Linked DNA regions of Neurospora crassa OR74A. The protein of the gene in region 2 binds, or shares a complex with, the protein of the main gene of each other region. Links are inferred from orthologs where the notes say so. Each region holds a gene or a part of one and is shown on either strand. Other genes may lie near its edges.

The links. The genes of interacting proteins can lie anywhere in the genome.
Region 1: the proteins of NCU04548 (region 2) and NCU10155 are in contact, whole or in part, in a cryo-EM structure (PDB 6WJV), measured with the Saccharomyces cerevisiae proteins. The link is inferred for Neurospora crassa OR74A from reciprocal best matches to the Saccharomyces cerevisiae genes POL2 and DPB2. Residues at the interface, in NP_014137.1 of Saccharomyces cerevisiae: Asp1115, Ile1116, Pro1117, Glu1133, Tyr1327, Asp1329, Ser1330, Glu1332, Pro1333, Gln1369, Glu1410, Lys1411, Asn1413, Cys1414, Ser1416, Phe1418, Asn1419, Gly1425, Val1426, Phe1427, Glu1428, Pro1595, Phe1596, Thr1598, Lys1599, Gly1602, Thr1603, Leu1606, Lys1614, Leu1617; in NP_015501.2 of Saccharomyces cerevisiae: Phe207, Leu208, Pro209, Ile211, Phe218, Leu219, Tyr222, Leu287, Asn289, Asn291, Phe292, Glu299, Asp300, Pro301, Asp409, Asp410, Leu411, Lys412, Ile413, Ser440, Val441, Pro442, Val443, Phe444, Ala445, Ser446, Met447, Ser448, Ser449, Arg450.

Annotation. Positions count from the first base shown.
Region 1 is NC_026505.1:1,592,109-1,597,211, reverse strand, and holds NCU10155 (DNA polymerase epsilon subunit B), read right to left. Parts: upstream 3,503-5,103; 5' UTR 3,370-3,502; coding exon 2,591-3,369; intron 2,532-2,590; coding exon 755-2,531; 3' UTR 233-754; downstream 1-232. Other genes in the region: NCU10156 (hypothetical protein), read right to left, coding at 1-87; NCU04588 (hypothetical protein), read left to right, coding at 3,751-3,837, 3,955-4,454, 4,528-4,609. UniProt on the Saccharomyces cerevisiae protein: As accessory component of the DNA polymerase epsilon complex participates in chromosomal DNA replication.
Region 2 is NC_026507.1:1,471,028-1,476,350, forward strand, and holds the start of NCU04548 (DNA polymerase epsilon), read left to right. Parts: upstream 1-1,734; 5' UTR 1,735-1,994; coding exon 1,995-2,620; intron 2,621-2,685; coding exon 2,686-2,831; intron 2,832-2,884; coding exon 2,885-5,323. Other genes in the region: NCU04549 (hypothetical protein), read right to left, coding at 115-792. UniProt on the Saccharomyces cerevisiae protein: Catalytic component of the DNA polymerase epsilon complex which participates in chromosomal DNA replication.

The DNA of each region.
Region 1 (5,103 bases), on a different chromosome or scaffold from region 2:
CTCGACGATTGATCGGCCATGATGCCGAGCGATCTGGCCAAGCGTCTGCTGACAGTCATCATCCGAATCGTGCAAATCCCTGTTCATGACCTCCGTGTAGCAGACGCTGTAAGATATCGGCAGGCGTCGTGTTGGAAGCTGTCGTCCTATGCCTTGCTTGACTGTTCAGTAGAGTCATCAACATGGAAAAGCCAAAGGGAGAAGAGAAAGAGAGAAGAGTAAACCACACCACGAAGACCAGAAACAACACATTCATGTCGCGGAGGCAGGTACCATTTTAACTTGAATTGATAAACCAATCACCGTTCAACGTGGTCCCTGATGCTCTTGAAGCATGCAACAAGGTATGCTGCTGACAGGAAGGCTGGGGCGTTGCGCTAAGCCGATCTAATCTCCGGTGATATGGTCTCCGTTATAGATAAGCAGGCTGAAGCCTGTTTTCCTCTTCATGCATTGTAAAGGGGAGTACAGCCATGACGTGCAGGTGCTGCACAACAGGGAGCGAGGCGTGAAATCGACGGAAAGAAATTGATGGCGCCTGAGATGCCCACCGTGTTCGAGGTTCGATTGTGCCCTGCCACCGTAGCGTCCGCCCAGCAATACGAGTTACCCTTTTCCCCGATCAGCTTTACAGAGCCAATAGTCCCAGCCCCAAGACCGATTCAAGAGCAAGATCTCCCAGCACAGCCTCGTAATAAGCTCAAGGCAGATTTTTCTCCAGACAATCAAACATTTCACTCGAAATGTGCAAAACTCAGAATGTACACTCCCTAACCCTCCCTCCACCCGTCCCCGTCCCTCCCACTCCCGGTAACTCATACTCAACCCACCGTGCCGCCCCCTTCCTCCCCGGCACTAATATGCTCCCCGGATTCATCACGTGGCACCCCTCATACGTCACGCAAAACGGCGGAGCGGTAGTATCCACCAGTACCATGGCCGTCGGCAGCGGGTAGAGGTACATGGCGGAAGTATAGTCCCAATGTACCGGGCGGATAGCTTGCCGGAAAGGAGCGAGATAGCCTTGGTCGAGAATGGTTTTCACTAGCTTGCGGGCGGCGAGGACGTCGTAGGGTATGGAAGATGGAGGAGGCATGGTAGTCTTTTGGTTAGGGGCAGGGGCAGAATCGACATCCATGGCGTCGGTCATGGTTGTGTCGGCCATGTCTTCGTCGTCAGCATCGGGGGCGTCGGGGAGGGAGGAGGGTGGACATTGGTTATCCATTGCCGAGTCGTCGTTACCATTGGTTGGGGGTTCCGGCTCGACGGAGGCTTTGCTCGTGTTCTTAAGACGGACAGAAGCTCGTCGTAACCGGGCGGAGATGTCATCTCGGAAAAGAACCATTTCGTGACTAGGCCCGAAAAGGGTTATCCTACTTGGGTTGGTTGTCCAGACAGCTTCGCCGCCTCTCCTCTTGCCTGCATCCTTTTCTGTTTCTTTGCCAGGGTTGGCTAGCCCGGCTTCAGCATTCGCTGCTGCGAATACCCTCCTGATGCGGGAAGTAAACAGATCTGGGACGGGTTTCCTCGGCAAAGGAGTTGCCGCACCACCTGAGAAGGCAGACACCCACCCGTCGTTGTCACCTGGCACAAAAACAAAGGTAGCCGTCGTGAGCAGACTAGGGAAATCCGCCAGTGTCGATGCCAACGCATCGAAAAACTCCTTGTACTCAATACTCCCCCCACTCCCGCCCCTCGCCATGACAGCATGCTGCGTGAAGTTACCCGCCAGCACAAACGTCATGGGTGTACACCCTTCAGGATCACTAGCATAGAGACCCAAGATTTTTCTCAGTGCCTGCAAACTCCTCGGCTGATCTAGGTTTAGTTCGCCAATAATCACTGCCCTACCCCTCGACGGCCTGCCATCCTCCAACAGCGCTGGTTGCCGAAGAATTCTGTGCTCCAACTTGCGCATTTTGGACCCGACTGCCCTCTCGCTACCTACGCCCAGGAAGTCGATCCAGCCGAATCCGCCGCCAATGGTATGATCAGCGCCGGTGCCGTCGGGCCCACTAACCCCGAGCGTAACGCGGCGCTTTTCGCATGGTGGCTGGCCGATGAAGAAACCTTGGAACCGGCCGCCGATGGTACCGCCCACACCGCTGCTACCACTGAGACCGTTGCCCATGGTCATGGTTTCCTCCTCCTCTTCGTAGACGCCGTCGATGAGAACAATCATTCCCGGCGTAAACCAGGCAGAATCTTCAGGGATGGCGACAGCGTGAGAGAGGTCGAGAGTAATGGTGCCCGTCAGGTCGCTGATGGCAAGAGAGCCAGTGGGAAGGACAACAAGCATGCCCAGCAGCATGTGGTTGCTGCCATGGCGGCCGAGCAGGTTGGCGATTGGGGTAATCTTGTGGGAGGAGAGGCCGTTGGCGTTGGTTCGTTGGCGCAAGCTGGAGCCTTGGACGGAGGAGGATTGAAAGGCTTCGTTGCGAAGGATGCGCTGATGAATAACGTTGTAGCGGTTGCGGAAGGCATCGGTTTTGTGAGAGGCGGCTGGTAGTAGGGAGGGTTTGGAAGGATCCCTACAAAGGTTAGCTGTGTAACCTATGTAAAGAGGGTAATAAATAATAAGGGACCATACCTCTCAAAATGCTTCTTTCCAACATTATACATCAACCGTGGTTGATCGAAAGCATGTATAACCTTCAGCCACCTCCTAACATCTCTCACCGAATCGTCTTCCGGCTCTTCTGTGAACTCCAACCCAGACATGCCAAAGCTGGCGTTGCTGTCCTCCCGGGTTAATGATGGCACGGGCCGAAGTCCGAGTCGACTATGCGCATGTTGTTCGTCTTGGTCGGGCTCTAGCAAGAGACTGTTTTGTCTGCTCAAGCTTCGTGGCCCGGTCAGGATCTTTCCTCCGCTCATGTTTCCCTCGAGGGTCTTGAGAATGTCCTTGAGCTCGGGGCTGTTGCCTTCCACGATGACGCCGCCATTGCGGTTCTTCCAACTCCTTGCTACCTCTTCTAGCACCTTTTCGGCCAGGCCTTCTTCCCTCCATCCTGAGCCACAGTGTCTACCGATAAAGGTTGCGAGCTCTTGTAGGGCAGTTGATGTAAGTGTTAGGCTGTGTTTCTTGGTAAACGTTCGGAAGGCGAGCGGTCGTAGTGTCGCCGGCGGAAGGATGATGGGCAGGATTGCGGCTTTTGTGAGGACTGGGGGTTGGAACGGCTTCAGTGGATGTACTGGAGTAGCGAAGGCGGGCGAGGACGAGGGTATCGGGTTGGATGGGCCCGCTGGGGTCTTGGGCGCAAAGAAGCCGGCGGCGGCTGCTGCTTGTGGCTGCGGTCGAGATGGTCTGTCTTGGGCGTTTGTCTGGCCGGTTTTCGTCCGCTTTTGGCGGGGACTTTGAACGATCATTGTGTCTGTGGTCTGGATAGCTCGACTAAACTTGCAATTTAGTATAGTCGGTTACAATTGGCCGTCTACCAGTCTGTTCGTGGTGGTGATATCCGTCATTGTCACTGTCTGGAAGACGCGTAAATTGAGAAACGAAGCAGGGGACCAGACGCGTTCTAGTGGGGCTCACCCCAGATTTCAGCCAATACGGGCTCCACAATGTCAGAAACAGGGGCATCAAGGGCCACCTACCCTGGTTGCCGCCGGCAGCGCTAGAGAGGTACCTACAGCAGGTACCTACGCTACAAGTAGACGCACGAACAGCACCAGAGTGACATCAACTAACTTTTGACGCCATCACCAACCTTTTCATTCTCGATATCAGATTCAATACAGCCAGTCATGATGCTTACTACAAGATTTCGTGTAGTTCCTACGCTACGAAGCGCAGTCAGGTCATTCACGACCTTGCCGTCCAACCCAAACATTGCAAGTCATCCATCCACCTCTCCACCAACAACCCCACCCGCACTTACACCACAACCCCCATCCTCACCACATCACCACACAACAACTCAAACACCATACTAACACCCATCACCACAGAAAGTCTTTCCCCACCCAAACGACCCAAAAAGCTACATCCTCTCCCTCCTCCCCACGACCCCTCCCCCACCCACCCTCTCCATCGGCACCACCACCGCCCTACCCCCAACTCCCCAGTCCTTCACCACCAACCCCCACTTTCTTTCCATCCTCAACTCCGTCCTCGCCGAACACGCCTACTCCGACCCCGGTCTTCAATCACAAGCCCAAGCCTTTGCTTCCCCAGCCGGTTTCTCCTTCCTTCCTCGTCCTGGCTCGAGAAAGGTAGGCAAAAAGGGCAGCGACACGGGCGCCGGCGGGGCGTCAGCGGAGGGAGGCGCGGGAGGCGCGGGCAGGGGAGGATGGGTGCACTTGAGTGATGAGAGGACGCCAGTGGATTTCGGAAGGATTGCGTGGCCCGAGGATATCTTTGGGAGCGTGGAGGTGGATGGGCAGGGAAAGATGATCGAGGGGACGTTCCAGGGGAGTGGGACTTATCGGGTTGTTACGAATCAGGGCATGTGAGTATTTTTACTTTGGTGAGGTGAGGTGAGGTGGGTTGACGTGGTTGCTAACTGTTGGGATTGGTTACAGCTTGGGACTAAGTCCGTTTTTGATGGAGAGGTTGGTTGCGAGGTTCAAGGAGGAGGAGGCGAAAGAGAAGCAGAAAGCTTGAGAGGAGATGTTTGGGGTTTGAAGGATGTGGGTGGTGAGAGCGGATGTACAATAGGTGAGCGGTCCGTTTGATGTGTCGCTACACTTCATGCTGTTGTCCAAAATAAAGGGGAGACGTACGTCTTGGGGTTCGATTCGTCAATGAGTAATGTCCTAAATTTTCAAACAATTTACTGGGAGATCTGACATATGTCCTAATCAAACAGTGAAGGACTGAAAGGATGTGAGCGACGAAGCATTTCAACGCTGACTGATCCGTTTTGTATATGTAAGTGGAAGCTCGACTACTGCCTGAGGTGGGATACAAGATCCGAGAGAGAAGAAAGAACCAAAAGAAGAACGTGATTCAAAGTGAAAGTGAACAGGATAAAGATGAGAATAGAGAGGGAGAAAAAAAAAAGAAAAGAAAAAAAACATACAACACCAGGGATTCGCTGGTCGTCACCGACCCAACTACTAGTCTGGCCCTCACTGGCTTATCTATGGGAGAGCGGA
Region 2 (5,323 bases):
GTGCAAGTCATAACCTACATCTCCTACTCCTAGCTATGCCCTTCTTCACCTCTATCCTAACACAACGTCTCACCTCAGCACATCAAAGAAGCCCTCTCACCTCCTCACCCCCCCTCACCAAAACTTGTACCAGCTCTTCTTCTTCTCGCCCCCAGGTGCAGTCATCGACGTGCCCTGCACCACCTCCCCCTTTTCCGCCGCCTTCTTCTCCTTCGCCTCTTTAGCTTCCTTGGCCCTATTCTCCGCCTGCTTCTTCGTATAGACCGCCACCACCCTCTGCATCTTCTCCTTCTCCTTCCTCCTCTGCCACTGGCAGTACTCGTACTGCGCCATCGCCCCCACGATCCCGCACCCTACACCCCAGTTGGCCGCTTTCGGGATGGGCAGGCCCATGATCCACCGCAACACACCGATGCCTGCGCCGGCGCCGATGCCTGTCATGAAGCCTTGGCGGGCGCAGGGCGTTTCGTGCACGGAGAGGAAGTCGGAGGGGGAGATGGTGGAGGCGACTTCGGTGAGGGAGATGCGGTTGGATGAGTGGGTGGTGGGTTTTTGTTGTTTTTGTTGTTGTTGGGAGGGTTGTTGCTGTTGTTGCTGGCCTGGGACTACTTGTGGTGTGGTGTTGTTGGACTGTGGTGGTTGTTGTTGGAGGTCTTGAGAGGGCGCAAATGGAGCAGGAGGGGGAGGGGGAGAGCCGCCGCTGCCGCCGCTTAGCCAGGAGCGGGCGGCGGCGTCGGGGTTTGTGGGTGTTGTTGTTGTTGTTGTTGATGATGTTGTTTGGTCACGCGTCATGGTTGCGGTTTGCGATGATTGTTGATGGGACGGGCTTCAGTTTCTCTCGTGTTCCGTCTCGAAAATGCGCAGTTCTGTCAGGGCGCAGAGAAAAGTGTGGAGTTGTGCGTGTATGGTAGTTGTGTGAATATATGTGGAAGTCGCTGGTTGTTATTCGCTTGCTGGGATTGCAGTGTTTGAATGGCAGTCACGATATGTATCGGTAAGGTGATGGTGAGTTGAAGTGACGGATTGAGCAGGGAAACGAAGAAAGTGGAATTGGCCAATGGAGACTGCTCATTGACGTTCTCTCCGTCGTCTTCCGCACGGCGGCCGAAGGTGTCGCGGGGAAGCTTTTTTTTTTCTTCCTGGTGGGGACCTTGCGGGATTACGGGGAAGATGCAGGTACTTTAACGCACTTACATGGGGAACATTAGGCGAGCTACCGTAGAGATTCAGCTTCCAATTGTCATCAGAACTTCCGTCTAACAAACACAAGTTAGTAACATCAGTTACACTTCCGCCCTCAGATTCGGAGCCGGCTACGGGACGAGCTCGTACAATGCCCGACCTTCTTAGGTAGAGGTAGCTTTGACTTGGAGATCCAATGGACGGCAACTTGGACGGAGACAACAATGGAAGGTCCAAGCTCCCGTCCCTCCCGATCGGGCCGCTTCATGATTCGAGCATGCCCGCCCCGGCGGAGGGGCCGTGTCCCGAGCTGAGGTAGGTGGAGGGAGCGTCTGCCGGCGGGCAGCCCACTTCCCCACCGCTCCAATCCTTGTTCAGCGCCTTGACGCCCTGTGAGTGCCCTGAAACGATCAGCTTGACTAGTGGGCAATGTGTGCGTTTAGCGCCCGGCGCGTCAGACAAATTGGACCGTCTACCGTACGTAGTCGCGTCTGGCGCGTCTCCCAGTTAAACGACTTTAATGGGTTCCTGAGACTTTCCAAACATTGAAGTGCCTGCCTCCCATCTCACAACCCCATTCTCTTCACCAAACCAAGGGACCCTGTGCCAGCCATACCTCGAATCTTGGCTGGCCCTCCATGTCAACCTACTTGTGAAAAAGACATATTCCTGTTTCTTGTCTCTCCTTCCATTTCCATCCGACTTTTCTTGGATCGAGAGATCCTACCGAACAGGACGGAAAACGGAGGGCAGACCAAAGCACAAGACGAACATCTCGGGGCCTACGCAAGGGCCAATCCAATTCTTCGAATATGCCCAACACTTCTCTAAGGCGACAGCCTCAAAAGGGCTACCGTCGCGGTGGCAAGAACGCCTACCATGGCGGATCCAAAACACGAACGTTCGCTGCCTCGGCCAGCGCCCGCGGCGAGGCTACCTCGACAGACGAAAAATGGGAAAGGACAGCCCTTGCGAACCAGATCGACGAGAACATGGGCTTTGCCCGATACGATGCCGGGAAGAAGCGCGAAGGCTGGCTGGTCAACGTACAACCGACATCCATCGACGACCCCCGTATCCCCGGCGGCGGCGGTCGCGCGGCACTCGACTGCTACTTCATCGAAGAGGACGGGTCAACATTCAAAGCCACAGTCGAATATGAGCCATACTTTCTGGTCGCATGTCGAAAAGGTCACGAAGGCGAGGTCGAGGAGTGGTGCAAGAGAGTGCCTGGTGGCGGCTGCGTCAAGTCCATCCGGCGGGTCGAGAAGGAAGATCTCAAGATGCCCAACCACTTGCTGGGCTATCGTCGAACATTCTTGGAGCTGAGGTTTCATAACGTGCAGGACTTGATGTCCGCCAAGCGCGATGTCATGCCCATTGCGGAAAAGAACAAAAAGGGCATGGATGCCATGGATACATATGCCGAAGTAGCATCGTGGGTTCCTCTCATGTTATCTGTACAGGCTGATCACCGCTGCTGACACATACCCCCCCAATTAGAGCGAACGGCGGGTTTGATCTTTTTGATGACGATTCACGAAATGACGAGCGACGACATAATGCTGGTTTTGCAGAGGCGAGCGATTTCATTGTTGATATCCGGGAATACGACGTCCCATACCATGTGAGAGTAATGATAGACTTGGGTCAGTTCTCCTTGCACACTCCCCAGCGTGTGTGCTTAGCTGACCATCCACAGACATACGAGTTGCTAGATGGTATCATGTCGAGGCCAAGAATGGAGTCACGACAGTAAAAGTAAACGAGGAACGTTTGGCCATGGCCGATCCCGTCGTAATGGCTTTCGATATCGAGACCACCAAGTTGCCCCTCAAGTTTCCCGACGCCGCTATTGACCAGATCATGATGGTCTCATACATGATCGATGGCCAGGGTTTCTTGATCACAAATAGAGAGATTATCTCCGAAGACATTGCTGATTTCGACTACACACCAAAACCCGAGTACCAAGGTCCGTTTATGATCTTCAACGAACCTGACGAAAAGGCCCTTCTCGAAAGATTCTTCCTGCACATCAAGGAGGCCCGACCAACCGTCATCGCCACCTACAACGGTGACTTCTTCGATTGGCCTTTCGTGGAGGCTCGTGCCAGTATCAACGGCATCGACATGTACCACGAGATCGGCTGGAAGAAGGACAGTGAGGATCAGTACAAGTGCAACTACAGTGTGCACATGGACTGCTTTCACTGGGTAAACCGTGACAGTTATCTCCCCCAGGGTAGTAGAGGTCTCAAAGCCGTCACCGTTGCCAAGCTTGGATACGATCCCGATGAACTCGATCCTGAGCTTATGACACCATATGCCAGCGAGAGGCCGCAGACGCTGGCCGAATACTCCGTCTCCGATGCCGTCGCAACATACTATCTGTACATGAAATATGTGCATCCTTTCATCTTCTCTCTCTGTACCATCTTGCCGCTAGGCCCAGACGATACACTAAGAAAGGGAACCGGTACGCTATGCGAGATGTTATTAATGGTACAGGCTTACCAAAAGGAGATTGTGTTACCCAATAAACATGTCCAGCCTAAGGAGTCCTTCTGGGAAGGACACTTGTTGGACTCCGAAACGTACGTTGGTGGTCACGTCGAAAGTATCGAAGCTGGCGTCTTCCGCGCCGATATTCCCGTCAACTTCGCGGTTGACCCTACCGCCGTGGATGAGCTGATTCGGGATCTTGATGCAGCCCTAACGTTCAGTATTACGGTTGAAGAGAAGAAGGAGTTGAGTGATATCGCCAACTACGACGAGGTCAAGGAGCAGATAACGGCCAGGTTGATGAACCTCAAAGAGACGCCCAATCGACTGGAACGGCCGCTCATTTACCATCTTGATGTCGCCTCCATGTACCCCAACATTATGACAACCAACCGATTACAACCCGATTCCATGATCTCCGAGTCAACTTGTGCAGCATGCGACTTCAACCGCCCAGGAAAGACTTGTGACAGAAGACTACCGTGGGCCTGGAGAGGAGAGTACCTGCCAGCCAAGCGCGACGAGTACAACATGATTCGCCATGCACTCGAGAACGAGAGGTTTCCAGGAAAATACCCAAACAGCCCGATGCGGTCATTCCAAGACCTGAGCGCAGACGAACAAGCCACTCTCATCCGAAAGAGACTGCAGCTCTACTCACAAAAGGTGTACCACAAGATCCACGATTCCACCACGATTGTCAGAGAAGCGATCATTTGCCAGCGCGAGAACCCCTTCTACATCAACACAGTCCGTGACTTCCGTGACCGACGATACGACTACAAGGGCAAGGCGAAGGTGTGGAAGGGCAAGACGGATTCGCTCAAGAGCTCGGGCGCATCCGCGTCCGAAATCGATAATGCCAAAAAGATGATTATCTTGTTCGATTCCCTGCAGTTGGCCCACAAGGTCATTCTCAACAGTTTCTACGGATACGTCATGAGAAAGGGATCTAGATGGTACTCGATGGAAATGGCCGGTGTCACCTGTTTGACGGGCGCAACCATTATCCAGTTGGCGAGACAGCTCATTGAGCGACTGGGTCGTCCACTCGAGCTAGACACTGATGGTATCTGGTGCATGTTGCCGGCGACATTCCCAGAGAACTTTGTGTTCAAACTCAAAAATGGCAAGAAAATGACCATCTCGTACCCATGTGTCATGTTGAACCATCTGGTCCATGACAAGTTCACCAACCACCAGTACCAGACTCTGGTCGATCCAAAGACCTTCAAATACGAGACGCACAGCGACAACTCCATCTTCTTCGAAGTCGACGGGCCGTACAAGGCCATGATCCTACCCACCTCCAAAGAAGAAGACAAGAACTTGAAGAAGAGATATGCCGTCTTCAATGACGATGGCAGTCTTGCGGAGCTCAAGGGCTTCGAAGTGAAGCGAAGAGGCGAGTTGAAGCTCATCAAGATTTTCCAGCAGCAGATCTTCAAGTTTTTCCTGGAGGGTACCACCCTGGCGGAATGCTATAATGCTGTCGCCAAGGTCGCTAACCGCTGGCTTGATGTACTGCATAGCAAGGGTGCAACGCTTGCGGATGAAGAACTTATGGAACTGATTTCTGAGAATCGCAGCATGACCAAGACGTTGGAGGAGTACGGAAGCCAAAAGTCAACATCCA